Callithrix jacchus: one gene and its partner. The protein of the gene in region 1 purifies or fractionates together with the protein of each later gene. This does not show direct contact. Links are inferred from orthologs where the notes say so. Each region holds a gene or a part of one and is shown on either strand. Other genes may lie near its edges.

Region 1 (15,313 bases):
TGAGCTGACCTTATTAAAGTTGTAGAAGTGAAATTAAAACTGTGGTTGGTATCTGAATAGTCTGGGAACTAGGAATAGTGCCCAGGATGGGCTGCTGAGCTACTAGGGTTGTAGAAGATGGGACACTGGTAACAAAACTTCCTTATCCCCTTTTCCTTTTCTTCAGGTAAGGGCTCTGTACATATCACATCTCTAGAAGCCACAAAATCCTGAGTGAAGAGACTGGTGTCACCAGCTTGAGGGCAGTCTCGAAACCTGTCATATTTTAATATTCCCTCCCAGCCATCATCACTATCTACCCCAGAGAGGTCAGCTCCCTCCATTGCAGGGCAGGAGTTCTAAGTTAGAATCTCCACTTCTAGACTTCCCAGGACAAACCATTTGTGATAAGGTCAAGGTGGGAAGGAGTTAATTTCAAAGGAACAAGTGACCTTTCCCCACGCCCCACCCCCTTCCTCACCCCTATGTGGAGATCCCACTGACATCCAACCACACCATTCCTCACCCCATAAAGATCCTCTTTATTTATAGACTCTATAAAAGCTTTTTAAGTCTCCTATTTCCCAAGAGAGCTTTGGAATGTCAGTCCACTGCCCTGATTCTAGCCCTCCCCGCTCTCCACCCCTAGTAAGACCTGGAGTCCCTGCTACCACGTGTCTGACCTCCCAAGCCTTTCCTATATGGTATTCAGGCTCCCCCTGCTGCTGAAATAGGAAAACTTCATATTGTTCCCTTTGATCATAAGAGAATCTTTCCTGATTACTTTGGTCTTGACCTACCCCCACCCCACTGCTGTGACTTTGCCTTCAGCTCTCCCTAAAATGAACTAACCAAACCAGAGGCCAGAGTTACATGTGAATCTATAAAAGGGCCCTCTTCCTCTAAAGGGAGGTAGTCCCAGAATAACAGAAGCAATCAAGGAAAGAAGTGATAAAAGAAGATACAAACTTTTAGTAAAGGGGAATGACCAGGTGAAGTACAAATGGCATCTACCCAAGCGTGGCTCACCTTGCAAGTCGCACCAGCAGCAGATAATTAGATATGAAGCTCCACCCCACCCAACTGTCCCAGAATTGATACCTGAGGTAGCTCAGGTGAAGTCCGGGGCTCCTGTGGGTCTCCACCTCCACATCACTGCTGGGTTCTGGGCAGGAAAAAAACAGAGACTTGGGTGGGAGAAGGAGTAAGAGTGGAGGTGGCTGTCCTCCACTCGATGGAGTGGTTGTCACAAGAAAGAAATCTAACAAAACGGCAAAGCTTTGGAAACGTTAGGATTTCCTTAGTGTTCAAACTGAGCTTCTCCACTTGTCCAAGGGAGAAGTGGCCAGTAAGCAGAGTAAAAGATAAAACTAATTCGGAAGGGCTGGGAGGATGGGTTGGAAAACCAGCCCTGAGTGAACAAAGGGTGTGGGGCGCCCTGCCTCAAGATGAAAGAGGATGTGAGGGTCAGAGGGCGGCCAAAGGTTGGAGTTAGTAATGCCAAGTGAGGAACCTTAAAAGGGCAGCGTCTGACAGTGCAGTGGAATGGCCGATTAGACTTGGGGGCAGTGATTGTGACGCTTCCCAACACCCTAGAGTTTGCGAAAAAAGTCCTAGGAGTTTTCCCGCAGCAAGTCTTCTAGCTTGGCAGTTTCCGTGCAGTGCCGCCGGCGCTCAGCCATGGACTACGTGAATGGGACACTAAGGGCGCGCGAAGTGAAGCGGAGAGATGGGGCTCCAGGTGTCATCAAGCTGAGGGGATGGGCAGAGCTGTGACGTCACGAAGCTGGCGTTTGCTCGCGATGCGGGGTCAGTCAGAAAAGGGGCACTGCCCTGGGGTGTGAGGAAGAGCCAGCTCGATTCTGGGGGGACTTGTGCGGCCCGGCCGAGCCCAGCAGCGGGGCTGGCCCGACTCCTCCCCTCCGGGCGCGGCCTCCACCTAAGTCTCCCGCCTCCCTCACCTGCCGCCGCCGCCGTAGTTGCTGCTGCCGCCTGCCGGTCCTCTAGCTTCGACAAAGAGCCGCCCACCCGAACGCTCTTCCGCTTCCTGCGGAAGAAGTGACGCTCTAGCCACCAGACCCGGAACCATACTCTATGGTGTACGAAGTAGGCGTGCGACATATCGCAGGAAGTTCCCAGCACGCTTTGCGTGTCACCATAGCAACCCAACCCAAAAGCACGACATCAAGTCCAGAAAGCGGTATTCTGAATGGCAGACCTACTGGAAAGCAAGGGCGGTACCACCAACAGCGCCTAATAACGCACGCAACCTAAAACGTGCCTCCAGGGGCGTACCATACCCTACCCAACTCCAGCCAGGTGCAAACCACACCACTTAACCCTGGCTTTTGCCTTTCTATCCTCCATAGCACAGGTAGGGACAGGGCAAACTGTACTGATAGAAAACCCCGACCCGATGGAACCATAAAAAACACGTAATAGACGAGACGATTTAATCCTTCAGCTAAGACAGCGGAAGAGGTGATTTATTTTATGGTTGTTACACTCGGCCACAAGTAAACACAGAAATAGTCCAGAATGTCACAGGTCCAGGGCAAAGGACCAACATGGGCAGTTTTGGTTATGAGCAAGGTGGGTCTCAGAGGTGATCGGCGATCAGATGGCGATGAAGTTCTAGATCCATTGAGACAAGCTCTAGACAGTAGCATGCAGTCCCACAACTTGTACCAGCATCAGCAGCGCCCGGCATTCCATGTTTCTGCTCCTGTGGCCTCCACGGTGCAACAAGTAGCGGTTTACTTGGACCTCTGCCTCATCTTTCTTCTTTTGCGCTTCAGCCTGAAAAGCAGACACAGGAATGGAATACACTTTCTATTCTTAAACCAGAGTTGTCTTCCCCTCCCACATTAAATCAAACGTGCTTAGAATGCACGAGGTGGTAAAATGAACAAGCATTACGATTCTATCGTCCTCTGTTCTGTTCAATCCTTTGCTCTAAGAAGAAAATACTCAAACGTCTTTCTCCTAAAGCTGTTTTAAGATTTCCAAATCAAATATTTCTCGTCCAAGGAACACTCCCCCTTCCCTTCTCCTGGACTGGCAGTCTCAACATACCTGCGCATTCGTTTCTTCCTCCACTAGCAACCGATCACAAACAGCAGAGAATTAAAAAAAAAAAAAAAAAAAAGAATCTTATTAGTGGGTTTAGGAGGGATATGAAATGCACTCTTTAGAACCCGACAGATTCTTAACCAAGTATGCAGCACTGGTCGTAGCAACTACATCAGTAACTTGGACACCCTCCCAACATAAAATCCGAATTATACCTTTTTCAACTCCCACTCTCTTTCCCCATAGCACTTAGCCACTAGCCTCTCAGCTTCTCTCACTAATTTTCCTCTCCCATCAACTCTTGGGCACCCCTGAAAACCTGTAGTTCAGGAACTATGGCGGACTTGCCTTGCCTTAGTCTCCCATTACTACTCGCCAACTCCTACTTCCCAAGCCTAATACCAGGAACCGCTCACCTTGGCTCTCATGGCGCAGGGGTTTCTACGGAGAAAAAGAGAAAAGCTACAGTTAGTTTGCTGTGATGATGGTAAGTGCAGAGATCAGATGTCAAAGGATTGTACATGGAATCCGAACACAGAAACCAACAACACTCACCCAAAAAAAAATGGCGCTAAGGCCGAGAGAAAGCCGAAGTTCCGTCTACAGCTATTTAATAGAGCGCCGGGTGTCGTCACTTCCGTTTTCCCGCCCTTTTTCCCCCCCACCGGGCGGGGCTACCCAATGGGCGTAACAAAGGTTTTCGGCCCCTCTTAGCGAAGGACTGTTGGGTTAGGTGTTCTCCGGAAGACAGAGAATTTGGTTTTGGAGTTACCAGTTCCCCACCCCACCAGATTTAGTACGAGGACACTGTGTTATTTAAACGTCAGCACCTATTTCCAATATAATAGTGACCGCCACTTTCCCTCGCATTGTTTCTTGGGAATTGCAGTTCCTTGGAGAAGTCCTCCATTTTGCTGTGGAAAGGCGCGGACTGTACAGAAATTATTGTTTTACTGGTTTGTCTTCTTTTCTTTATTATTTATTTATTTGAGACAGGATCTCACTGTCACCTAAGCTGGAGTGCAGTGGCGCGATATCGGCTTACTGCTACTTCCGCCTCCCAGGTTCAATCGATTCTCCAGCCTCAGCCTCCCGAGCAGCTGGGACTACAGGCGAACGCCACTTGGATAATTTTTGTGTTTTTAGTAGAGACGAGGTTTCGCCTGTTGCCCAGGCTGGTCTCGAACTCCTGAACTTAAGCCATCCTCCCGCCTCGGCTTCCCAAAGTGCTGGGATTACAGGGATGAGCCACCGCGCCCAGCCGGTTTACGTTATTTTCTAAAATAAATTGCTGCAGGGTGATTCGATTCCGGAACTATCGATGGTACCAAGAGTTCAGAACGTAGGAAGATATAAAGTGGGGAGTCGGGAAAGCTGCCGTACTGCAAAAAATATTCTCACTGTTTAAGATAGAGCAATTTTTTTCCCTAAACTTCAGGAATAAAATAGCTGACTATGGTCTTTCCCTACGATGCCTGAAGCAAAATATCACTAGGGAATCCTGGCTACAATGCATGGCTATGTTAAGAAAACACATAAGCGGCGGGGCACGGTGGCTCATACCTGTAATCCCAGCACTTTGGGAGGCTGAGGTGGGGGAATCTCGAGCCCAGCAAGTCGCGGCTGCAGTGACCTATGCAGTGGTTCTCTAGGGGTGAAGAGTGAACCAACGGACATAGGGAGAAAATTAGCTAAATCTAGAAGTATGACATTTGGTGTTAAGATAAAGAACTTCCCAGTCTTATTGTATACTCGGGTGAGCAGCACTGGAAAACAACCAGATCCCATAAGATTTGGCTACAGGAAACTTTTCAGTTAATGAACCCTTTCCTGACCTGGCGCGGTGGCTCACGCCTGTTGTCCCAGCACTTTGGGAGGCTGAGGCGGGCAAATCATCTGAGGTCAGGACTTCGAGACCAGCCCGGGCAACATGGTGAAACCCTATCTCTACTAAAAATACAAAATTAGCTGGGCGTGATGCCACATGGCTGTGATCCCAGCTACTTGGGAGACTGAGGCAGAAGAATCGCTTGAATCTGGGATGTGGAGGTTGTGGTGAACCCAGATCATGCTATTGCACTTCCAGCCTGGACAAGAGCGAGACTCTATCTCAGAAAAAAAAGTAAAAGAAAAAAAGAAAAGCAAAGAAAAACAACGCTTTCGGGCCGGGCGCGGTGGTTCACCCCTGTAATTCCAGCACTTTGGGAGGCCGAGGCGGGTGGATTACGAGGTCAAGAGATCGAGACCATCCTGGTCAACAAGGTGAAACCCCGTCTCTACTAAAAATACAAAAAATTAGCTGGGCATGGTGGCGCATGCCTGTAATCCCAGCTACTCAGCAGGCTGAGGCAGGAGAACCGCCTGAACCCAGGAGGCAGAGGTTGCGGTGAGCCGAGATCGCGCCATTGCACTCCAGCCTGGGTAATAAGAGTGAAACTCCGTCTCGGAAAAAAAAAAAAAAAAGAAAAACAAAAAGAACGCTTTCCCTATACATACAACATTTTATAGTTTAACATACTGTAACATTTTGTATGTGATTGTTACAATCCCTCCTTTTTTGCGGTTTTCCTTTATTATATTTCTAGCATTTCATTTTCAATTTCTGAAAAACTTTTTTTTTTTTTTGAGACGGAGTTTCACTATTGTTTACCCAGACTGGAGTGCAATGGTGCGATCTCGGCTCACCGCAACCTCCGCCTCCTGGGTTCAGGCAATTCTTCTGCCTCAGCCTCCTGAGTAGCTGGGATTACAGGCACGCACCACCATGCCCAGCTAATTTTTTGTATTTTTAGTAGAGATGGGGTTTCACTATGTTGACCAGGATGGTCTCGATCTCTTGACCTCGTGATCCACCCACCTCGGCCTCCCAAAGTGCTGGGATTACAGGCGTGAGCCACCGCGCCCGGCCGAGACACTTTTTTTTTTTTTTGAGATGGAGCCTCACTCTGTCGTCCAGGCTGTATTACAATGGCAGGATCTGGGCTCACTGCAACCTCAGTCTCCCAGGTTCAAACCATTCTGCTGCCTCACACCCGGCTCATTTTTGTATTTTGGTAGAGAGTAGAGACGCGGCTTTGCTATGTTGGTGAGACTGGTCTCAAACTCCTGACCTTGTGATCTGCCCCCCTTGGCCTCCTCAAGTCCTGGGATTACAGGCATGAGCCACTGTACCCTGCCTTATATATGACAAATTTTTTGAAACAAAAAAAATCCTAGCAGAATTATTTTGTATCAATTCCACCAGGATTCCAATTGATGATTGCCAACTAGTCTATAAGCTCTTTGAGGGAAATTTTTTTTGAGACAGAATCTCGCTCTTGTCACCCAGGCTGGAGTGCAGTGGTGTGACTTCAGCTTACTGCAACCTTCACCTCCCCACCTCTATCAAGCAAATCAAGTGATTCTCCTGTCTCAACCTCCCGAGTTGTTGGGACTACAGGTGTGTGCCACCAACACCCAGCTAATTTTTTGTATTTTTAGGACAGGTTTCACCATGTTGGCCAGTCTGGTCTTGAACTTCTGACCGCAGGTGATCTGCTCTCTTCAGCCTCTCAAAGTGCTGGGATTACAGGTGTGAGCCACCGTGCCCAGCCTTTTTTTTCTTTTTTTTGAGATGGAGTTTTGCTCTTATTACCCAGACTGGAGTGCAATGGCGCGATCTTGGCTCACCACAACCTCTGCCTCCTGGGTTCAGACAATTCTCCTGCCTCAGCCTCCTGAGTAGCTGGGATTACAGGCATGCACCACCATGCCCAGCTAATTTTTTAAATTTTTTTAGTAGAGACGGGGTTTCACCATGTCGACCAGGATGGTCTCGATCTCTTGACCTCGTGATCCACCCGCCTCGGCCTCCCAAAGTGCTGGGATTACAGGCATGAGCCACCGCGCCCGGCCACCCCCCCACCCTTTCTTTTTAATAGACTTAAATTTTTAGAACAGTTTTAGATTCACAGCAAAAGTGAGGAAGGTATAGATATTTCCCACACATATAGCCTCCCCTTTATTTATTTATTTATAGACAGAGTCTTGCTCTGTTACCCAGGCTGGAGCGCAGTGGTACGATTTCGGCTAACTTTAACTTCTGCCTCCTGGGTTCAAGCAATTCTCCTGCCTCTCAGCCTCTTGACGAGCTGGGATTACAGGCATATGCTACCACACCTGGCTGATTTTTTTTTGTATTTTTAGTAGAGACGGGGTTTCACCACATTGGCCAGGCTCGCCTGGAACTCTTGACCTTGTGATCTGCCCTCTCAGCCTCCCCAAGTACTGGGATTACGGGCTTGAGCCACTGTGCCCGGCCTAGCCTCCCTCTTTATAAACATCCCTCCACCTTGCCAGAGTGGTACATTTAACAACTGAACCTATATTGACATACCATTATCACTCCAGATCCATATTTTAGTTTACACTAGGGTCCACTCTTGGTGTTGTACATTGTTTGCCTTCAGATAAATGTGTAATCAAGCAGAGAGGGATGAACAGGGAAAACACAGAGGATTTTTAGGGCTCTGAAACTGCTCTGTGTATTTTAATGGTGGATATGTCCTATGTTCACATTTGTCCTATGTTCAGTTCTGTTCACAATGCCTGACATGTAACAAGATAAACTAATTACCCATCTGACCTCAAGTCTGGCCCTGAAAACTAGCGTACCAGACATTCTTCCTGGCTTCCTGAATCAAGATAAACATTTGTAGTGCTGTTCTTGCAATACATATTAAGTGTCCTAACCCCAAACAAATCTTAGCAGAGGACCGTTTCTACTTAGAAAATTACATCACCCAACTCCAGCAGATAATTTACTATATCATCAAAGATTCTAGGATTTGTGTCTTCTGCAAGTCAAGACATTCCTCATTTTAGGAAGGTAGATCATGGCACTGGAGAAAGTTCCAGTACTACTTCAACTGACATGCTCCCCACCTCTATCAAAGCAGCATACAAAGCACAACATTATGAGCAAATCCAAATTTATTTTAATGTCATGTCATTTTCAATGTGTTTAAAAACCTCATAAGTTAGTGGGAGCCCTAGTTTCCTGGGACAGCATGCCAGAGGTACTGAAATATGTCACCTTTCGCTACAAACCCCCAGCAATCCAATCCAAGTCCATAGCTTCAGAAAGCCAGGAGTTGTATCTTCAGTCTACTCCTCTGGTTCTTCCTTTTTCTTTCAAGGGAGGGAGATCACAATATTTCAAACAGGGAACAAAACCAGTTGAGCTTCCAGCTCAGGTTTGTGTAAGATGGAGTGAGGGAAGACCCCACTGACTCCAGAGAAAAGGGTAAGGTTGAGATGAATTATTTCTTTACAGCTTTGTGAAAATGGAAGAACAAAGATTTACAAATGAGGATCCATTTCATAGATGAGAATCTCTTCATAAATCAAGGTTCCAACTCCTAAAATGGGAGGGGCCTGACTGGACGGCCTGAATCAAGATGAGGAGTTGGCCACACTGAATAAAAACAATCTGAAAAAATAATCCTCCTAATTTTGAAGCCAGATAAAATACTTGGGGAAAATGGGAAAAAGAGAGGAAAAAGCCCCAAACAGATGGAAAAACGCTGATGTCAGAGTGGTATAAAAAAATTCAGCTGAGTTTTCAGTGGCGGTGGCTAATTTAGCCCTGTTCTGTGGTAGGGCTACAAACCTTGACCAAGCAGACAGTAGTAGAAAAGGCTAGAAAGAGGGGCTTGAAGACGATGAATTTTGACTCCTGATTTTATTATTCAATTTCTTTTTTTCACTTAAAGTAGTCTTCCGTGGTTGGGAAGCCTTGCCTCCCAAGACCAGAGTCAGTTGGAGCTGGTTGTTGTTGGAAGGGAGTGGGCTGGGGAACTGGGGTCGGGGCAGGGAGACCCCCTGCTCTGCTGGCGGTCCTAGGTTGAGAAGAACTGCACTTCACAGAGTCTGGGGTGTAGTGGGAAGGGGATGAGGCAGGAGCAGCAAGCTGGGGAGATGGGACCCACCTCAGTCCCCAGCTTCATTTTCTTCTAATGTTTCCCCACTGGTGGCATTCTCTGCAGTCTTGGAGGCCTATATGCAAGAAAAGGAGAGGGAGAAGATGTGGCAGTTTCTAACTATTTGGGGGGTAGTGTCTGGGACTAGAGATACAAGTTTTTTATTTTTAATTTTTTTTCTTTTAAGAGATGAGGTTTCTCCATGTTGGTCAAGCTGGTCTTGAACTCCTGACCTCAGGTGATCTGCCCACCTCAGCCTCCCAAAGTGCTGGGATTACAGGCGGCGTGAGCCACTGTGCCTGGACTTTTTTTTTGAGAAAGACTCACTCTGTCGCCTAGGCTGGAATGCAGAGGTACATCATGGCTCACTGTAGCCTCAATTTCCCTGGGCTCAGGTAATCCTCCCACCTCAACCTCCCAGGTAGCTGGGACTATAGGCACATGCCACCATGTATAGGTTTTTTTTTGGTATTTTTTGTAGAGATGAGGTTGCACTATCTTGCCCAGGCTCATCTTGATCTCCTGGGCTCAAGTGATACTCCTGCCTAGGCCTCCCAAAACATTGGGATAATAGTTGTGAACCACCGCACCCTCAGCTAAAAAAGTATCTCAATCCTCTGGGTCACAGTTGAAATAAAGATATATAAGTCTCTGACTTACAATGGTCAACTTGTGATTTTTCAACTTCACAACAGTGTGAAAATATGGATATTTCGATACATGATAATTTGTTGAATAAGTGTTTTGAGCACACTGAAGGTAGGCCAGGCTAAGCTTTGAGGTTCCTGGTAGGTTAAGGTATATCAAATCCATTTGGAGCCAGGCATGGTGGCAGCTACGCAGCAGGTTAAGGTGGGACAATCACTTGAGCACAGGAGGAGTTTGAGACTACAGTGAGCTATGGTCATGCCACTACACGTCAGCCTGGGTGACACAGTAAGATCATCTCTCTCTCTTTTTTTTTTTTTTTTTTTTTTTTTTTTTTTTTGAGATGGAATTTCGCTCTTGTTGCCCAGGCTGGAGTGCAATGGCGCGATCTCGGCTCACTGCAACCTCCGCCTCCTGGGTTCAGGCAATTCTCCCGCCTCAGCCTCCTGAGTAGCTGGGATTACAGTCACGCGCCACCATGCCCAGCTAATTTTTTGTATTTTTAGTAGAGACGGGGTTTCACCATGTTGACCAGGATGGTCTCGACTCTTGACCTCGTGATCCACCCGCCTCGGCCTCCCTGGGTTCTCGTGGGATTACAGGTGCCCACCACCACAACCGGCTAATTTTTTTTTTTTTTTTTGAGACGGAGTTCCAAAAAAATGGAATGATTACCTAGACTGGAGTGCAATGGCATGATCTCGGCTCATCGCAACCTCTGCCTCCTGGGTTCAGGCAATTCTCCTGCCTCAGCCTCCCGAGTAGCTGGGACTATAGGCGCACGCCACCATGCCCAGCTAATTTTTGTATTTTTAGTAGAGACGGGGTTTCACCTTGTTGACCAGGATGGTCTTGATCTCTTGACCTCGTGATCCACCCAACCTCGGCCTCCCAAAGTGCTGGAATTATAGGCGTGAGCCACCGCGCCTGGCCCCTAAATTTTTATATTTTTAGTAGAGATGGGGTTTCACCATGTTGGTTAGACTGGTCTCACCAGACCTCAGGTGATTCACCCACCTCGGCCTCCCAAAGTGTTGGGATTACAGGTGTGAGCCATTGCAGCAGGCCAAAAAAATTTTTTTAATCCATTTTGACTTACTTTCAATTTATGATGGGTTTACTGGGACAAAGCCCTATCATTTAAGCTGAGGAATATCTGTACAAAAATCCGTATCCCACCATGACCTAATACAATGGGAGAAAGAGGGATCAGGTTCACCCTGCCAGAGAGGGATGATCACAACACACCTTCTTTTTTTTCTTTTTCTGGGTTTTTCGACTTGCAGAACTCTGGAGGAGGGCCTGGAAAACAGGAAGAAGGAAACAAATTTTGAGAAATGTGGAGGAAATTTTTTAAAAAAGGGTTACTTTCAGTACTGTAGCTCTTTTTAGGACTTTGCTGGCATTTAGCCCTCACTCCCAGGACAGGTACCATATACATCCTCACCACCTTCTATTCCATACTAACCTTTAGCTCTGCATCCTGGACCTCCATCTCAGACTTATAGAGGTCAGGCTCAAAGGGACCGCTGGTTATCCGCATGGGGCCATTGGGCATGAGCAGAACTGTAAATTTAAACTGGGCAACAAATTCACCTATGGCAAAAATGAAGATGTATTTTGATAAAACACTCCTTTGTTGTCATACTTAGGTCTTCTGAACTTATATGAAGGATATCATATAATCAGGGAATCCAAAGTGAAGCTCTTTTTAGAACTTACCCTCCTTCTCATAGAGAACATTAAATGGTTGCAGCAGTTCATGTTTGGCGCACTCTACCACACCCATCCGAGCCTTCTTCTCATCTTCAAATGCTCTGGCAGGGGAAGATGATATTCAGAAGTATTCTTAACTCCCCATCAAGTCTTACCATTTTGCTCATATTTTAAAATAGCTCCTACCCTCAGGCAGAAATCATGCTTAGGATTGCTCTTTTACATTACCTTCAGTGAGAAGGAGATGGGGAGAGAGAGGGAGGGAGTGAGCACGTGCACGCTACAAGTCTAGGCAGGAAGGGAGAGGAAAAAGTGTTCCTGGGTGTATGGTCTGTGAGTCAGACTGGTTCCAAGTACTATCATTGCTATGTGTAGTACCTTAAAGTAAATGGCATGGCATCAAAACGCCTTTCCACCTCACTGAAGAAGGCACGTGAAGTTTTCATTTTCAGTCCATACTGTTTAGAGGGGTCTCGTTTATAAATAGTGGTTCTCTGTCCTGCATCCTTGGCCTGCAAGAGTAATTTAAGAAATATTTGGTCTGGCAAACACTTTCAGTCACCCCTCTTTGCCAACTGTGGTACTCTCCTCACCTTGCCCTCTCCTGAGCTGACGAGAACATCCACAGCATATACTTCATGTACCTCAAATTCAGCTTTTTCATGGTCCTTCCTAAAAGGAATACAGAGAAGGTTTTTTTTTTCTTCAGACAGAGTATCACTCTGTCGCCCAGGCTGGAGTGCAATGGCGCAATCTCAGCTCACCGCAACCTCCGCCTCCTGGGTTCAAGCAATTCTCCTGCCTCAGCCTCCTGGGTAGCTGGGAGTATAGCTGCATGCCACCACGCCTAGCTAATTTTTGTATTTTTTTTCTTTTTTATATTTTCATGTTCTTCACAGACAAGAATTTTCTTTTTTTGAGACGGAGTCTCACACTGTTGCCCAGACTACAGTGCAATGGCGTTATCTTGGCTCACTGCAACCTCCGCCTCCCGGGTTCACGTGATTCTCCTGCCTCAGCCTCCCGAGTAGCTGGGGTTACAGGTGCATACCACCACACCTGGATATTTTTTTTTTTTGAGATGGAATCTCACTCTGTCGTCAGGCTGGAGTGCAGTGGCGTTATCTCAGCTTATTGCAACCTCCGCCTCCCAGGTTCAAGCAATTCTCCTGCCTCAGCCTCCCAAGTAGCTGGGATTACAGGCACACACCACCATGCCCAGCTAATTTTTGTATTTTTAGTAGAGACAGGGTTTCACTATGTTGACCAGACTGGTCTCAAACTGGTCACCTCAGGTGATCCACTGGCTTGGGCCTCCCAAAGTGCTGGGATTACAGGCATGAGCCACCACGCCTGGCCTAGAGAACGGGAATATTAAGAGCAATAGGTCACTCCTGAAAGCAAGGAGTAGAAGGTAGACAAGATTCAGCTGGGAGTATAGAAAAAAGTCTGATGACTAGTTTGGTAGAAGGTGATGAGTGGGGTTGGCACCTACTTCTGCTGGTCTGTGGGATTCTGGATAATGGTTTTTTCTCCATCGATGACATGCTGCTTCAACTGGTGTGACAGCATACCTGTAGACAGGACATAGCCTATGGAACAAGCTATCCAGAACCCCAAAAGGTTTCCAAATCCACCCACTTCAGTAGTTTGAAGGGGCAGGCAGTGAGAAAGTACCTGGCTATGGAAACACAGGGCTCTGAGATTTCTGGCTTTGACTGGGCTATAGCCAGGATAAATCTTCAAGGGAGCAAAAGTCTGAATTCTGCAAAGCCACTCATTCTTAGACCCTCAACCCTGTTAACTGTTCTCACCTTCTATTGGCGTGCAGTTAAATGAGTGGGCAACTTTGTTCCAGGCTTCTGTCACTTGTGTATTCTAGAAGTACAACATCAAACAAAAGGTGAGATATCAGGAGCTAATAAGTTCTCTACAATGCGAATAAGAAGCATAAAAGAACTGAGCTTTCTAATATCCTCCATCCAGTACTAATGATTCTCATTCACTGGATTTTCATTTCATAGTTCGATTATCCTTACAATCTAAAAATACTTTATATAGATGCTCCCAACTTATAATGGGGTTACATCTCAAAAGAACTCATCGTAAGTTGAAAATATCACTAAATCAAAAATGCATTTAACTGGGCACAGTGGCTCATGCCTGTAATTCCAGCACTCTGAGAGGCTGAGGCGGACAGATCACGAGGTCAGGAGTTTGAGACCAGCCTGACCAACATGGTGAAACCCTATCTCTACTAAAAATACTAAAATTAGTGTGGTGGCACACCCCTCTAATCCCAGCTACTCAGGAGGCTGAGGCAAAAGAATCGTTTGAACCTGGGAGGCGGAGGTTGCAGTGAGCCAAGATTGCGCCACTGCACTCTAGCCCGGGCGACAAAGTGAGACTCCATCTCAAAAAAAACCCAAAAAGCATTTAATACACCTAACCTACCTAACATCATAGCCTGCCTACATTAAGTGTGCTCAGAACACTTAGAAAACATTATCCTACAGTTGGGCAGAATCTAAAACATGCCTATTTTATAATAGTGTTGACTATCTCATGTAATTTACAAAATATGTGGAAAATGAAAAATGGAATGGTTGTATGGGTACTCAAAGCATAACTTCTACTGAAAGCGCCATCAAGCCGAGGAACAGCTGTATTTGCATATCATTTTACCCAGTGCTTTCACAAAGATGGTCTAATTTGATAAATTTGGCAAGTGAACAGGGCAGATGTATATCCCAATCTAGAAGACAAGGAAACTGAGTCTCAGGTTAAATTATTTGCCCCAGGTTAAATGACTGTTAAGTGAAAGAACTTGGTCATAAACCTGGGTTTTCTTTTTTCTTTTTGTAGAGACGGGTCTTGCTGTGTTTCCCAAGCTGGTCTCAAATTCCTGGGCTCAAGCAATCCTTTCACTTTTACCTTCCAAAGTGCTGGATTTACAGGTATATGCCACTACACCTGGGTTTTCTGATGTTAAGTCCAGTGTTAATCCTTTTATACCTGGCATTGTTATCAGTTTTGTGGAGACAGCAAATGCTTATTTTTCCTTTTTCTTTTTTAAGACATAGTTTCATTGTCACCCAGGCTGGAGTGCAGTGGTGTGATCATAGCTCACCACAGCCTCAATCTTCCAGGCTCAGCTGATTCTCCCACCTCAGCCTCCCTGGCAGCTGGGAATACAGGTGCACGTTACCACGCCCAAGTAATTTTTGCATTTTTTGTAGAGACGGGGTTGCACCATGTTTCCCAGGCTGGTCTTGAACTCCTGGCCTCAGGCTATCCTCCTACCTCGGCCCCACCAAAGTGTTGGGACTACAGACATAAGCCACTGTGCCCAGCCAAATATAGCTAATTTTAAAAGCTGTTTTATAATTTGGAACTGGATAAAATAGCTTACCTGGTTTCCAGGTTTGACCAACCGTAGGGCAGCTTCAGCACAAAGGTGAGCTGCCTTAATAACATCTGCTTTCCTCCCGGTTACTTGGGTCCCCTGTAGATAAGGACATGCAATCAGTGTCTTCCTGGAAAGCTTGTTAACTCAGCTGGCTATCTGGTTAATATCTGTGAGCCCATATGTGAAGGCCAGCTAATGAACAGGAGAATAAAAAAAAAAAAAAAAACACCTTTATCCTTCTCCTTTTGCTTCTCTAGAGACTCTCTCAACTTATGTGGTGATTGGGGGTGGGGATAAGAAGCAAATGGCAGTTCGTTCCCCCCATCCCCAAAGCTAAACAGAGCTCAAAAGCAGGCCACCTACCTGAGCTACATCAACCACAAAAGTATGAGCTACATTAGCGATGAAGCCATCCACATGGACCCCAAGGTCACTGAAAAGCAAGATCAGAGTACTGCATTAGGAACTAGCACTTTGTAAATACTTTAAAAAAGAAAAATGCTTCAAAACAGTTTGACCGACCTGCCCC
Region 2 (16,032 bases), on another chromosome or scaffold:
AGGCTGAGGCAGGAGAATCATCCAACTCAGGAGGTGGAGGTTGCTGTGAACCAAGATCACGCCACTGCACTGCAGCCTGGGTTGATAGAGGGAGACTCTGTCTTGAAAAAAAAAAAAAAGTTAGCCAGGAATGGTGGTGGGCCCCTGTAGTCCCACGTACTTGGGAAACTGAGGCAGGGGAATCACTTGAACCCAGGAAGTGGAGGTTGCAGTGAGCTGAGATTGGGCCACTGCACTCCAGCCTGGATGACAGAGCAAGACACCATCTCAGGAAAAAAAATAATAATAAAATTAAAATAAAATTCTGATTTTGACGGGCGCAGTGGCCCACGCCTATAATCCCAGCACTTTGGGAGGCTGAGGAGGGAGGAATACTTGAACCCAGGGATTTGAAATCAGCCTGGGCAACATGGCAAGACCTCATCTCTACAAAAAATTAAAAGATAGCCTGGCATGGTGGAACATGCCTGTATTCCCAGCTACTTGGGGGCTGAGGTGGGAGGACCCCTTAAGTTCAGGAGATAGAGATTGCAGTGAGCCAAGGGACACCACTGTACTTCAGCCTGGGTCACAGAATGAGACTCTGCCTCAAAAATATAAGATAAATTTCTGACTTTTTTCATTATGAATTTTTCCTAGTAATTAAAAAATATTGCAGTTAAGGCCGGGCGCAGTGGCTCACGCCTGTAATCTCAGCACTTTGGGAGGCCGAGGCGGGTGGATCATGAGATCAAGAGATCGAGACCATCCTGGTCAACATGGTGAAAATTAGCTGGGCATGGTGGCGCGTGCCTGTAATCCCAGCTACTCAGGAGGCTGAGGCAGGAGAATTGCCTGAACCCAGGAGGCGGAGGTTGCGGTGAGCCGAGATTGCGCCATTGTACTCCAGCCTGGGTAACAAGAGTGAAACTCCGTCTCAAATTAAAAAAAAAAAAAATTGCAGTTAAATATTATTTATCTCAATGATTGAGTTTTTAAGTGTTGTGCCTGAGGCAAGTGCCTTACCTCACCTCAGACCCCCTCTCTGTAGCAGGAATGGGTTTTCTTTGAGATGGAGTCTTGCTCTGTCACCCAGGCTTGTGTGCATTGGTGCGATCTGGGCTCACTGCAACATCTGCCTCCAGGGTTCAAGCAGTTCTCCTGCCTCGACCTCCTGAGTAGCTGGGATTACAGGTGTCTGCCACCAGGCCTGGCTACTTTTTTGTATTTCTAGTAGAGACGGGGTTTCACTATGTTGCCCAGGCTGGCCTCAAACTCCTGACCTTGTGATCCACCTGCCTCGGCCTCCCAAAGGGATTATAGGAGCAAGCCACCATGCCCAGCCTCACGGACTTTTCAGTGGTGGATTGAGACACTTGGATTTTCTCTTGCTGGCTGTCAGAAGTCACTGAAATCCCTCAATTAGAAGAATGTGTTTGTATCTGCTGCTGAGGAAAACTGATGTGGCTGCCGTGTGGTGGGTTAAGATACAGGCAAGACAGGTCAGAATGGCTATGTTAATCCAGGCAGGAACTTGAGAAGGGGCAGTAAGAGAGGGGCAGTGGAAAGCAGAGTGGACCCATTCCAGAGACACTCGAAGTCCAGGCCAGGGGAAGCCCTGGGTCTGGGAGTTGAGGGAGAGGGCAGGGTCTAGACAATGCTACCATCTGAATGCTGGTGTCCCCCCAAATTCATATGTTGAAAGCTAATCCCTAAGGCAAGAGTATGAAGAGCTGGCGCCTTTAGGTGATCCGCTCCTGAGGGCTCCTCCCTCAAGAATGGGATTAGTATCTTATAAAAGGGGCTTACAGGGGCCTTTGGGTTCCTTCTGCCTGTGAAGAAGCAGCAAAAAGGGCACGGTCTAGGAGAGAAGCCCTCGCAGACCCTTTGATCTTGAACTTCCAGCCTCCAAAACTGTGAGCAACACATTTCTGTTGTTTAAAAGGGATCCCATCTAATGTGATAGCAGCTCCAGCCGACTAAGACAACATCCCAGCTCTTGGCTAGGCAAGCTGGGAGCTCTTTTTCCTTTACTGAGGTAGGAAAGACAGCAGTTCACGGGTGGAAGAGGCTGAAATCAGAGTGGAACACTTTACTTGAAGTCTGAAGTTTTTTTTTTTCCTGAGAGTAAGTTTTGTTCTTGTTGCCCAGGCTGGAGTGCAATGGCACAATCTCAGCTCACCACAACCTCTGCCTCCCAGGTTCAAGCAATTCTCCTGCCTCAGCCTCCTGAGTAGCTAGGATTATAGGCATGTGCTGCTACACCCGGCTAATTTTGTACTTTTAGTAGAGACAGGGTTTTTCCATGTTGGTCAGGCTGGTCTTGAACTCCTGACCTCAGGTGATCTGCCCTCTTCAGCCTCTCAAAGTGCTGGGATTACAGGTGTGAGCCACTGCGCCCGGAGAATCTGAAATTTTATAGGGCACCAAAGGGAGCTGTCTGCCAAGCCACTGGGTTACTGAGGAAGAAAGTTGCTCCTGAAGAGCCCCTGAGCTAGGCACCATCAGATGACACTGCCCACAGGAAGGAGGAGCTGCTTGGAGGAGTGGCTCCAAGTAGGTGGGGTACACACAGATGGTAGCTGAAGCCACTGGATAAGGGGGTTACCAGTGAGAGAATGTTGAGAAGAGAGAGGGTGGCAACACTCTTCTTTGAGGAGAAGCTCCAAGGAGGATGCACTCAAGAGACAGAAGCTGCAGAAGGGTCAAGAGAGATAAGAGATAAGGTCTGCAAGGTGTCCTTTGGCTAGAGGGTGTCTGCAGAAGGCAGGGGTGAAGGCCACTTGCAGGGGCTGGGAACCTGGGGGTCCTAGTGGAGCTGCGAGCAACTGTTGTCAACTCTTCCCAGGAGCTTGTTCCTGCAAAGGGCAATGGAATGGAGGGAGGTATTGGAATGGCAGGTGGCAGGCCAGGCACAGTGTTACGCCTGTAACCCCAACACTTTGGGAGGCCCAGGCAGGAGGATCACTTGAGCTTAGGAGTTTGAGACAAGCCTGAGCAACATGGCAAATCCCTGTCTCTATAAAAAATACAAAAAGTAGCTGGGTGTGGCAGGAAACGCCTGTAGTCTCAGCTGCTTGTAGAGCCTGAGGCAGGAGGATCACTTGAGCCTGGGAGGTCGAGGCTGCAGTGAGCTGTGTTCATACCACTGCATTCTGGCCTGGGCAACAGAGTGAGTCTCAAAACAACAACAACAAAAAATGGCGGGTGGTAGCTGAGGAGGTCACTGCTGTGGGACCCCCAGGAGGGGTGAGGAGGGGCTCGCTGGCACAGGAGAAGGGGTGCTTTAGAGAAAGACTGGTTTCCTTGGGGTGGCAGGGAGCGCTCAGGATGTCTGCGAATATATGTAAACCAGAGGGTGGGTCTGTCCTTCCCTTTGAAGGAGAAGATAGGGTAACTCTGTTGACAGAGAGGGCAGAGAAGGAGAGATGAGGGGTCTGAGGGAAGAGGCCTGGCATAGAAGGCCAAGGAGATGGAAATGAGAACGGTCAGGACCTCCTGGAAGATGATCTATCTGGGCTAGCAGCTGGGGCTGCTACCAGGGAGGCTGCTGGGAGGGCAGGGCATTTGGAGGCCCCAAATCTGCATCATCCAGATTCTCTCCAGCAGGGCCCCACCTCCTAGATGGAGAAGCCTGGGAGGTGCAGCAGGGAAGTTGGGGATAGCAACGATCTTGGGCCCTCAGTATCCTCCTCCAGCAGGCTCAAGGGCCTGAGGTTGGTGGCAGGGGGCTGACTCTACCTCTGGGTGAGCAGGTGAAGCTTCTCAGGCTGCCTCCGGAAGACAGAGGCTGGGTTCTCTAGCTCTGGCCCCTGAGACCTCAAGGCACAGGTGCTTCCTGAAGGGGAAGGCTTGCTAATACCCCAAGCAAGGCCTGGCAAGGGAGGAAGAGCTTGGGGTCCCCCTTTGGCATCTGGGGGAAAGTGCTGGGGAAGTTCTGGGTAGTATGCACAGGGCCTCAGTGAACTTGAAAGACAGAAGCAGGCTGGGCTGGTAAACGGACCTTCACAACAAACACCCCAGGCCTCAGGCAAACCTGGAGCTCTGGAAGCTGAGGCTGTGGTCCTCCCAGCCAGCTGGGGTGCCCAGCCCTGTCCTGCTCAGCCACCATGGTTGGGGCTCACCCTGCAGGCTTTGTGAGCTGGATGCTGGCTGAATCTGGCCAGCCCCACCTGCAACTCAAGGGGAGGAGCAGGGGAGACACAGGATATCCCCACCTTTGGACCCTCTGAAGCTTCCCTGGCAGCAGCCTGGCCCCTCATCATGGCCCTCAGTGGAAAAGCCTGGAGTAGGGGGTAGCTGCTTCCTGCTCAGTCCCCTTGGCTTCTCATCAGCAATTCTATCTCATGTCACCACGTCCCTGCACTAAACTCCCTTACTCCGTCTTTTTAAAATACTCAGTGTGGTTTTTCTTGGCTGGTTGGAGCCTAACCGAGATACTTAGTTCCTAGAGCCCCAGACCTGGGAAGTGGAGTTAATCCTTGGAAGCCTGCAGACCCCCTCCATTGGGCTGTGGGACCCTAGCATGAATGTGAGGCCCACTATGGCTCACTGAGTCTCAGGGACCAGAAGTGCCCACTGGGTGCCCCAAGTGGGTGCCTTGCTACACAGGTATAGGGAGGGGCAGCCAGGCCACAGCAGCAGGCAGAGTTGGGCCAGGTCAATGCAGGCCTGGAGAGGCAGCCAGTGACCACTCAAGGCAGTGGTACCCCTGGAGCTTCTGGGCTGGTGGCTGAGGCTGTCACATTCCCCACAAGAATTAGAACCATGGTCATACCCCTCCCCACCATCTAGTTCCTCCTCTGCTAAATGTGAAGCACTGTCTCCCAGCCTTGGAGCTCACGGGCAGCAGATAACCCAGTACTTGGGAGAACATCTATCAAATGTAAAAGGCCATACTCTTGACCCAGCTGTTCTACAGATGATTTGTGTAAAATAAAGCATGTGAAAAGGTTATTTGCTATAGCAGTTTGTAATGGCCAAACATAGCAAACAACCCTAAATGGACCAGCAAGGGTGACTAGATAAATTGTGATCCTTCCACACAAGGAACACCATGTAGCTATTTAAAAAGAGGCAGCTCCATGTGTGTTTATGTAGATGAGTTACAAGATACACATAGTTAAAAGGAGAGTTCAGAACAGTGTATATGATAGCGTTTGCATTAAATATAACAAATACACTTGTCTATTTGCAAGTATGACTGAATCTGGTAGGATATACAATAGACTGGCACTGCCTTGAGACTGGGAATCCTAGAGGACAGGGAGGGAAGGGAGACTTCATTTACTGTACATCTGTTTGAATCTTTTGAATTTGTACTATGTGTGTACTTTACAATTCAATAAATAACTCACATTTTCAAAACAAAAGAGCATTTAGAAACAAATAGGCCAGATGTGGTGGCTCTTATCTATAACCCCAGTGCTTTTGGAGGCTGAGGCAGGAGGACTGATTCAGCTGGGAGGACTGATTGAGCTGGGGAGGTCAAGGCTGCAGTGAGCCATGATCCTGCCACTGCCCTCCAGCCTGGGTGACAGTGAGATTCTGTCTCAAAAAAAAGAAAGAAAGAAAGTGGAATGTCGCAGCAGTGTCTTCACTTACATCCTACTCCACTGCTAGCTATGTGACCCTCGACAAGTTAATTTACCTCTATGCCCCAGTTTCTGTAAAACAGTGATACCTTTTTGGAAAGGTTATTTTGAAGAGCAAGTGAATGAATATGTGAAGAGATGGAAGAACGCCTGGCCTGAGTCAGCATTATGAAGTGTTAGATATTGCTATTTTGCTGCCCCAGACTAACTCCAAAGCAATGCCACTTATGCGGGCTCTCCCTGCTGCTGCTTCTACCTAAATACTTCACTCATTTAGCAAACAATTTTCTTTTTTTGAGACAGGGTCCTTTTTTTTTGAGACGGAGTTTTGCTCTTGTTGCCCAGGCTGGAGTGCAATGGTGCGATCTTGGCTCACTGCAACCTCACCTCCCGGGTTCAAGCGATCCTCCCACCTCAGCCTCCAGAGTAGCTGGGACTCCAGGTGAGCTCCACCCTGCCCCCCTAATTATTTTTTTTTGTAGAGAGGGCGTCGCACTGTACCCAGGCCAGTCTAAAGTTCCTGGACTTAAGCAATCCTCCTGCCTCAGCCTCCCAAAGTACTGGGATTACTGGCATGAGCCAGCGCGCCCGGCCTTAACAAGTAATTTTCTTTCTTTTTGAGACCGAGTGTCGGCTCTGTCGCCCTGGCTGGAGTGCAGTGGCACGATCTCGGCTCACTGCAGCCTTCGCTGTGCCAGTTCAAGGGCCTCGTTCTCTCAAAGTGGTGGGATTGAAGGCGTGGGTCACCGCGCCCAGACTCAGGTGATTTTTAAACAAGTCCGGCCGTAGCTGCAGGTATCCTGGTTCTGTAGGAACGACGAAGTATGGACGGATCCACACCTGGATCTATGGATGGGAAGGATCTCAGGGAGGCCCTGGACGGAGGGAAATGCTCTGGTTTGCTAAGCCTGGCACCGACTGAGACCCACCCACAAAGCGACCCATGGAAGTCCCTGGCGGCCTCCTCTGCTCTGCCGCGGGGGAGCCCTGCAGGTGGCTCCCGACCTGCTCCCGGGCCATCTGGTGACGCTGACTTCGCAGCCACCACCTTAACTGGCGCGTAATACCAACCAGGGAACCCGTGGGCGGCCAGAGGCCCGGCTCTACGGTCAGCCCGCCCAGGCACCTCTCCCTGCCATGTGAGGCCAGAAAGTTACTTCTCCGAGGCTGTTTCCCGTGACCAGAAATACCTCCCGCCTGAGGTTCTGTGGGGTAGGGGAGGTTCGTGCACTTCTCACAGAAAACGTCGCACAGACCCGCCACTGCCTTTATTAAGAGCTCTCAGGAGGCTGCCTGGAGCCGAGGGTGTCTCCGGCCCCATGCTCGCGGGCATCAGGGCGAAGCTGTGCCCCCGAAAGGGCCAACGGGAACTCCGCGGTCCCTGAACTTCCGGCGCTGGAGGGCTCCTCGCTCAGGGCTGCCGGGAGCCGCGGCGTGAGTGCGTGCCGGGGCCGCGCGCGGGATCTCTGAGGCCTCGAACCTCAGGGCTGTCGGAGTCTAGAGATGCAACCACGCTAGAGAAACGAAGGCCGCCCGATTTACACCACCCCCGCGCTCCCCTCACACCCGGCGCCAAAAACGCTAGTCCCACGGCGCAGGCTGGGACCCGCGCGCCCACGGCCCAATCAGCGCGGGCCTTCCACAAAGCGAGCCCCGCCCCCACGCCGCTGCTGCCAGCACCTCCCCCTCCCGTGGCCGTCTCGGCCCGCCCATTCCCAGCCCCGCGCCGTTCTTGGTTAGAAGCTCGCGATTGGCTCATAGGGACGGCCGCGAGCTCTGGTTGGCCGGCGCGGAGTCACGAGGGCGTCGTCGTCGTCTTTCCACAGGCGATTACTGGGCAGGCTCTGTCTTTCGCCTCAGTCTCGAGCTCTCGCTGTCCTTAGGGTGTACGTGCTCCGGGATCTTCAGTACCGCGGCCGCCATCGCCGTCGCTTGGCTCCCTCTGGGCTCATCTGCGTCACTTGCTCGCTCCACACTCCGCCGCCATAAGCTGTCGTCATGGTGAAGCTCGCGAAGGTAAGCGGCCTTGAGTGCGAGCACCGAGATCTAGGCCTGCTTTCCGAGGGGTGAGCGCGGCGCCGCGGGGAGGAGGGCCTGCGCGCAGTCCCGGCCGCGTTCGAGGGCGCCATGCTGCGGGAAGTCTCGCGCGATTAGTGGGGAGGTCTCGCGGTTTCTGGCTACTTGGTGGCGAGGTGAAGAGCTTCTGCAGGTGTTGGGGGCGGCGAACGCGGCGGGAAAGACAGAGTCACTGAGCGCGGGGAGGGGGCGCTAGGCCCCGGGGCAAGGAGATGAGACCAGACTCATCTCGCGTACGAGATGCGACGCGTACGAGCTAGAACCCGACTCCTGACGCACGTGCCCGGGAGCGCGGCCTGCCACGTGGGCCTCGCCGCGTGGGTCCGGGAATCTCCAGAGGGAGTGGTGCGTTAGGGTGGGAAATGGCGGTATCGGCCCGAGTCGGAGGACCGGCTGCGCTCGGGATGTCTGCCCCTGCCCGGCAAGCCGACACGTGGTGGGCCCCGGAAGGTGGCTCTGCCGCGGTGTTTCGGGCACGTGGTGGCCTACCAGGTACCCCCACGTGGCCGCGCCGCCTCTTTTAGGGGCGGGGTTGTCTCGCTGGGAAAGGAATAACGTTCATCAGAAAACCAAGGTATTTTTTTTAAGTGCCTTAATGATCTTCACTCATAATTTGGATTTGGATTTGGATAAGGGTTGTAGAATAAGGTTCCGGGATTTGAAGTACTAAAACACGGGTGTACTTAGAAAGCCTAAGGAAAAAAAAAAGTCAAACCTACGGTAAAAAGTCAACCTGAAGAAATGATTTCTTCACTTCTTCAGGTTGACTTTTTACCGTAGGTTTGATTTTCTGTTTGTAGAGCCTGACAGCAAACATGTGTGGGCGGTTGAGAGCAGGACCTCTTGCATTGCCATTAGGGCTAGTTTTTATGTTAGTTGTGCTGTTTGGCCCTATGAGAAATGGATCTGAGGAAGGAGATGATGGCGTTTTACACTGAACAGTAATGGCAAAACGTGAATGGCCTGAAATGTCGAAGTGAAGATGTGATGATGTACTTGTTACCATTTTAGGCAGGTAAAAATCAAGGTGACCCCAAGAAAATGGCTCCTCCTCCAAAGGAGGTAGAAGAAGATAGTGAAGATGAGGAAATGTCAGAAGAAGAAGAGGAAGAAGAAGAAGAAGATGATAGCAGCGGAGAAGAGGTAATTTCATCCAACTCAATGCGGAATTAAGTTAAAACTACAAAATGGGGAGTTAGGACATGAAATTGGATGTCTATGATAAAAATAAGATTTTATTCATCTGCGTATCTCCTGTTGTAGTGATCGAGTGTTTCACAAGCTCTTCGTTCATGTCAAGATGTCATTTGGCTAAATATTTGAATGTGAGTTTGAGACAGATCTGGGGATCTCCTTTCCATGTGCCTCTGCAGGGCTTGGAGTGTGATTTGTTGTGCTGAATCGTTACATTTGTCCAGTTTCAACATGTTATCCTCACCCCCACATTTTAGACACAAGGGAAAGATCTGTTCTCTCAATGGCAGAGCTGGGCGTTGTATTCAGATCTGAGGATAACCTTACCAGATTCCTTTCCTAGGCTCCATTTAAGATTAATTGGTCTCTATTCCATTACACTACTCACTGTGTTACTGTTGTCTCTGGTGTAGACTGAGGGCTGCCACCGCCCTTTGTGTTAACGTTTACCCTCTAGCACTCCTGGCTATTTATTTGTTCGCTATGAAGACAAGTGAGGACTGAATTGTGCTCAGACTTCTCTTTGAGAATTGAATAAAAGTTACTTTTCCATACATTGCCTGATAAAACTAGTAATCAAAAAGCAGATTTCAGTGGGACTTTATTAATGTAGCTAAATGGTGGATTCATCGTTTTGTAAGGGATATTCAGCCTATTTGATCTTCATTTCATCTCGTATCTTAAGAATTGAGCTTCACCAAGCTTGGTACCAGCACCTACTGTAGGAGCCTCAGATGATTTAATAACAGTTAATGCTTGGAGCCTCCTATGTGTACGGTTGTGAATAATTTACACATAGCAATTCCTGTTCCTTAGACATGTAAGGATGATACTATTACCATTTTCAGGTGAGAAAGTTGGGATTTGGGAAAGTATGAGGTATGAGAATTCAGAGGTATTTTAAGTGTTCAGAAGGGTTCCTTATTCCTAGATATTCACCTGATAATATGGAGTTTAACATGGTAACGTGTGTCTAGGGCTTGTGGTCTTGAACCATAGGCATTGACAGAATCTAACACTAGTTGGGACCATGGTTGTCTTCTTACTGGTTTGGTTTTCATTTATTCTCAAGGTTGTCATACCTCAAAAGAAAGGCAAGAAGGCTGCTGCAACCCCAGCAAAGAAAGTGGTAGTTTCCCCAACAAAAAAGGTTGCAGTTGCCCCACCGGCCAAGAAAGCAGCTGTCACTCCAGGCAAAAAGGCAGCAGCAACACCTGCCAAGAAGACAGTTACACTGGCCAAAGCAGTCGCCACACCTGGCAAGAAGGGAGCCACACCAGGCAAAGCATTGGTAGCAACTCCTGGTAAGAAGGGTGCTGCCATCCCAGCCAAGGGGGCAAAGAATGGCAAGAATGCCAAGAAGGAAGACAGTGATGAAGAGGAGGATGACAGTGAGGAAGATGAGGATGATGACGATGATGAGGATGATGATGAATTTGAACCAGCAGTGGTGAAAGCAGCAGCTGCTGCCCCTGCCTCAGAGGATGAGGACGATGAGGATGATGAAGATGATGATGAGGAGGATGAGGATGATGAAGATGGTAAGGCGTTCTCTTGGTAGTTACTAGGCTTCTGTTTGCAAGTTATCTTGATTCTGGGAGCAATACTATGTATTCCTTCCACAACAACCTGGAGATCCTGGAGGTGAGATTGGAATCCTTGTGGGAATTCTCTGGGCTGTTGTGTGCCAGACTTAATTACCCATTAATGATTTTGTGCCTTGAGAAAATTTCAACAGCATAGTCTGATTGTTTTTCATAATACAGGATTTTGGTTCAAAGTGATTTTTTTTTTTTTTTTTTTTTTAAATTTTTTTGAGACTGAGTTTTTGCTCTGTTGCCATGGCTGGAGTGCAATGGCATGATCTTGGTTAACTGCAACCTCTGTCTCCTGGGTTCAAGCGATTCTCCTGCTTCAGTCTCCCAAGTAGCTGGGATTACAGGTGCCTGCCACCACACCTGACTAATTTTTGTATATTTAGTAGAGGTGGGGTTTGACCATATTGGCCAGGCTGGTCTCGAACCTTGACCTCAGGTGATGCACCCACTTTGGCCTCCCAAAGTGCTGGGATTACAGGTGTGAGCCACTGTGCCTGACCCTAAGTGGTCTACTCTTGCCATGACTATTAACTAACCATGGTGACAGGACTACACTTTATGTCCATTAGATTTTAAAACCGCTATTTATTTCTGGTGATTGCTGGAATTTTTTGACTAGGTGGCTTTTCTTTCAGACTCTGAAGAAGAAGCTATGGAGACTACGCCAGCCAAAGGAAAGAAAGCTGCAAAAGCTGTTCCTGTTTCTGTGAAAGCCAAGAACGTAGCTGAAGATGAAGATGAAGAGGATGATGAGGACGAGGATGATGATGAAGATGATGATGAGGATGAGGAGGAAGATGATGAGGACGAGGAGGAAGAAGAGGAAGAAGAAGGTAATTAAATTAGATTCTGACATACATTGACATGAGATGTTTAAAGGAGACACTTAAGTGTTTGTGGTTATTGATGGGTGATACATTGTTTGACATCTTGTCCAGAGCCTGTCAAAGAAGCATCTGGAAAACGAAAGAAGGAAATGACCAAACAGAAAGCAGCTCCTGAAGCCAAGAAACAGAAGGTGGAAGGTAACTTGCAGAATTGGGGGATGTGGGGGAGATAAACAGCACAAATGATGAATGACAAAGGGACTTAATACTGAAACTTGATGTTACCTTGCAGTGTGCTGATGTGCTGTGTATAGAAATTTTGCATTGGAAACTTTTTACCACACTTTACAAATAGACTGAGTTCAGCTTTTTTTGAATAGGCACAGAACCGACCACGGCTTTCAATCTCTTTGTTGGAAACCTAAACTTTAACAAATCTGCTCCTGAATTAAAAACTGGTATCAGTGATGTTTTTGCTAAAAATGATCTTGCTGTTGTGGATGTCAGAATTGGTATGACTAGGTAAGTGCTTCCCTGCATCTTACACATGGGTCTGTTAACGCCTTTCCCTCCCCTATTAGCACTTTAGCCTGGTGCTTTTAAACATGAATAATGTAAACATCTTCAAGGATTAGCATTAGTGAACTAAGTTAAAATCAAATTATAGAGCCCCTAAAGCGCAATTTTTTAATATAGGATAACTCTTAGTATAGGATGGAATAATCTTTAGTTTGTTTTTTTTTTTTTTTTTTTTTTTTTTTTGTGACAGAGTCTCATTCTCACCCAGGCTGGAGTGCAGTGGTGCAGTCTTGGCTCACTGCAACCTCCGCCTCCTGGGTTCAAGTGAGATTCTCCTGTCTCAGCCTCCCGAGTAGCTGGGACTTACAGGCATGTGCTACCATGCCCAGCTAATTTTTTGTATTTTTAGTAGAGACGAGGTTTCACCGTGTTAGCCAGGATGGTCTCGATCTCCTGACCTTGTGATCTGCCCACCTCAGCCTCCCAAACTGCTGGGATTACAAGCCTGAGCCACAGCACCCGGCCAGTAAGTTTTAATAATTTGGTGTTAGGAGCATTGCTTGAACCTGGGAGATGGAGGTTGCAGTGAGCCAGGATCATGCCACTGCACTCCAGCCTGGACAACAGAGCAAAACTCTGTCTCAATTTAAAATAATAATTTGATGTTTATTTTTTTGGAAGTACCTAAAACTGTTAGACTTGACTAGTCACAGTGAATGCTTTTATCCAGACAGGATTCTCCTGTATTAGTGCTTATAGGTGTTCTTTTCAGCTGCTGTGGTCAGTTGTTAGAAGCAATTTAGCTAGTAATGAGGACCTCAGAGGTGAATGTGCATGTCATATCTTCACACTAAGACCTTGTTCTGTAGCTACAATTTGCAGAGCCTTGACTTTATTTTGCTAATACCAGTGGTGCTTTTTAATGTGATCTTTGTTTGTACCATCACATTTGTCTGGAATACATATTGTGGATTTCGATTTGTGTTTTCACCTGTTGGAATTTTGCCCTCTTCTTCACCTCAAAGGAAATTTGGTTATGTGGATTTTGAATCTGCTGAAGACCTGGAAAAAGCCTTGGAACTTACTGGTTTGAAAGTCTTTGGCAATGAAATTAAACTAGAGAAACCAAAAGGAAAAGACAGTAAGAAAGGTATGTAGTGATTTAGGAGATGATGCAGCAAACCCAGGCGCTAGACTGCTAGGGAGAATGCTTTGGAACCCGTTTATTTATTTTTTTAAATTTTATTTTATTTATTTATTTTTGAGACGGAATTTTGCTCCCGTTACCCAGGCTGGAGTGCAGTGGCGCGATCTCTGCTCACTGCAACCTCTGCCTCCTGGGTTCAGGGAATTCTCCTGCCTCAGCCTCCTGAGTAGCTGGGATTACAGGCACGCGCCACCATGCCCAGCTAATTTTTTGTATTTTTAGTAGAGATGGGGTTTCACCATGTTGACCAGGATGGTCTCGATCTATTGACCTCGTGATCCACCCGCCTCGGCCTCCCAAAGTGCTGGGATTACAGGCGTGAGCCACCGCGCCCGGCTCCTTTTATTTTTAAAAAAATGTTTACCCTGCTTTCTTAATGCGGGATTTAATGAGTTAGTGTTTACAAGAGTACTCGGTGCTGCTTGCTAGTGTTACGGTGTAAATTCCTGAGTTAGGCAAATGAGCACTTTCATTGAGAATAAGATTAGATGCACCTAAATTAAAGGGTTCTGTCTTCACTGAAACTAGAGTAGGTCCCTAATTACGGTTTGAATCCTTTGCTTTTTTTCTCGATACAGTTGTAGTGTTTTAAATTGGTATATTCATTTTTTTGTTTGTTTCTAAAAATCATGCACATCTACTCTAGGTTGAACTCTAGTTTGAACAGATAGTTTGACATCAGCTGTGACAACATGGAGGGACCACTTGTGTGTTGCCACCGCGGTATCTCCATATTGAGCACAGAGCCTTGTATATCATGGGATCTCAAATTATTTGTTGAATAGAGCTATGTCTGTTTTTGCCCCACTTTTATTGTCGCTAAATGTTCAGGGTTTTTTTAGGCCATACAGCTAATTTTTATTTTTTAATCTAGAACGAGATGCGAGAACACTTTTGGCTAAAAATCTCCCTTACAAAGTCACTCAGGATGAATTAAAAGAAGTGTTTGAAGATGCTGCGGAGATCAGATTAGTCAGCAAGGATGGGAAAAGTAAAGGGTATGTTCTGTCTATTGAAATGTTGGGGTTTTTAAGGTTTTTACAACATTAACGCACTTTCCTGCATTAACAAAAGAAATGTTGGTTTGATTTTCTTAGGTGTAATCGTGGGCCATTTAATCTGTAAACCTGTGCCTCAATTACCCATCTGTACTGTGGGGATAACGTACTCATAGGGTGATTTTAAAAGACAAGCTAATACATATAAAGGAGCAAGAAATGTGCCTAGCTTATAATAAATAAGTTTTGTAAGTAGTAGCAGTGCTTTCAGTGAGGTGAAGTGACTGAAGAAAATTGAGTTTTTGTAAAACTTTTTAGTGGGAAAGCGGAAGCTCAAGTTTTGATTGAAAATTAGAAGGGAAGTTTGGCATTTTGATTGGCATAAAACTAAGGGCATTTATTGTACTCAGATCTGAAGCAAGTTCTGTGTTGCTGAGGTAAAAGCATTTGTGTTAATATGGTTTTTAAAATCACTAGTTCTTCTCCCTCCATTGCAGGATTGCTTATATTGAATTTAAGACAGAAGCTGATGCAGAGAAAACCTTTGAAGAAAAGCAGGGAACAGAGATTGATGGGCGATCTATTTCCCTGTATTATACTGGAGAGAAAGGTCAAAATCAAGACTATAGAGGTGGAAAGAATAGCACTTGGAGTGGTAAGAAATTAGGCTTGTTACAGGGTTGCAGAATTGGAGAGAAATCCTTTGTCTTTGTACTTCCTAAGTACTTTTTAATCAAAGTTACTTAAACGTAAGTGAAGATCAGGACATTATACTTCTAGTCATACTCTTAATTGGAGTAGTAATTTCTAGTCCTGAATGAGAGCTCTGAAATCATTTTGCATTGGAACACAGTAGGCAAATCAAGCTTCCTTTGTAGGTATGTTTTGTACTTTAAATGACTTCAACCATGTGTGTTTTGAACTTAGATTATTGTTCTAGGAAAACAGACCAGTAGTCAGCCTATACATAAAGAACAACCTGCAGGACATTGCAGCATATATACTAGGTACTCAGTATGTTGAGTAACAGAAGTGGATTTTACTTACATCAGTATTTGTGTAATAACTCTTTCAAGCACTGAAATTCTTAGGAATAAGATAGTACTGCTGTGAGCAAAGTTGGGAACCTGTGTGTCAAAGTTTTAAGATTGTGGCATCTCTGTCTGCAGGTGAATCAAAAACACTGGTTTTAAGCAACCTCTCCTACAGTGCAACAGAAGAAACTCTTCAGGAAGTATTTGAAAAAGCAACTTTTATCAAAGTACCCCAGAACCAAAATGGCAAATCTAAAGGGTAAGATAATACCTTTATGTCATCAGTTATGGTCTGTGTGTGTCTTATAGGTCTAAAGGAAGGTAAGGTCATGTGTGATCCTGTCAGAAAAGCCAAATCATTTTAGTTATGTAAATGAGTGTAAATAGCATCATTTAGGTATGGACTTGAGGGAAGGGGCTTGGCAGCATCATGTGACAGAGGACCATGTGCCTGGCAGCTTAGTCTAAGCATTAACTGTTCATCCTCAGGTATGCATTTATAGAGTTTGCTTCATTTGAAGATGCTAAAGAAGCTTTAAATTCCTGTAATAAAAGGGAAATTGAGGGCAGAGCCATCAGGCTGGAGTTGCAAGGACCCAGGGGATCGCCTAATGCCAGAAGCCGTAAGTTAACCTGGATAGGATGCTGTGGTTGGGGGTGGCACTCCAGTGCTTTCAGTGCTTATTTTTTGCACAACTTCTGTGTTTTCTGTTGCTGCTGAGTGAAGAATAACTGGATATGATGACTGATTACCTGAGAAATAATTGATGAAATCTCAAGAAAATTCCTCTAGATAGTCAAGTTCTGATCCAGCTGTCAACTCAGAGCAGCAAGCTTGCCTGTGATTTCCTGCCCCTCCAGTGGGCAGCACTTGCTTGGGTTGCTTCTCACACTTTCCATATTAGTTCTGGGGCAGGAGATCAACTATGCAGGGGCAATTTAGAAATGGAAACTCACAACAGCCTTATTTGAATTAAAACTAGTTGGCTTAGTTGCTTTTAACTGC

The links.
Region 2: the proteins of PA2G4 (region 1) and NCL purify together in Homo sapiens (affinity purification with mass spectrometry; 3 studies listed by BioGRID and IntAct, with this or other methods). This does not show direct contact. The link is inferred for Callithrix jacchus from reciprocal best matches to the Homo sapiens genes PA2G4 and NCL.

The regions. Positions count from the first base shown.
Region 1 is NC_133510.1:63,548,421-63,563,733, forward strand, and holds the end of PA2G4 (proliferation-associated protein 2G4), read right to left. Parts: intron 15,218-15,313; coding exon 15,148-15,217; intron 14,881-15,147; coding exon 14,788-14,880; intron 13,254-14,787; coding exon 13,190-13,253; intron 12,950-13,189; coding exon 12,871-12,949; intron 12,048-12,870; coding exon 11,969-12,047; intron 11,888-11,968; coding exon 11,754-11,887; intron 11,477-11,753; coding exon 11,382-11,476; intron 11,256-11,381; coding exon 11,128-11,255; intron 10,962-11,127; coding exon 10,908-10,961; intron 9,088-10,907; coding exon 9,022-9,087; 3' UTR 8,005-9,021; downstream 1-8,004. UniProt on the Homo sapiens protein: May play a role in a ERBB3-regulated signal transduction pathway. Seems be involved in growth regulation. Acts a corepressor of the androgen receptor (AR) and is regulated by the ERBB3 ligand neuregulin-1/heregulin (HRG).
Region 2 is NC_133507.1:152,896,106-152,912,137, reverse strand, and holds the start of NCL (nucleolin), read left to right. Parts: upstream 1-7,431; 5' UTR 7,432-7,571; coding exon 7,572-7,589; intron 7,590-8,001; exon of another isoform or gene 8,002-8,223; intron 8,224-8,660; coding exon 8,661-8,792; intron 8,793-9,915; coding exon 9,916-10,384; intron 10,385-11,076; coding exon 11,077-11,274; intron 11,275-11,379; coding exon 11,380-11,466; intron 11,467-11,503; exon of another isoform or gene 11,504-11,573; intron 11,574-11,648; coding exon 11,649-11,790; intron 11,791-12,812; coding exon 12,813-12,937; intron 12,938-13,868; coding exon 13,869-13,992; intron 13,993-14,489; coding exon 14,490-14,647; intron 14,648-15,161; coding exon 15,162-15,285; intron 15,286-15,515; coding exon 15,516-15,649; intron 15,650-15,759; exon of another isoform or gene 15,760-15,839; intron 15,840-16,032. UniProt on the Homo sapiens protein: Nucleolin is the major nucleolar protein of growing eukaryotic cells. It is found associated with intranucleolar chromatin and pre-ribosomal particles. It induces chromatin decondensation by binding to histone H1.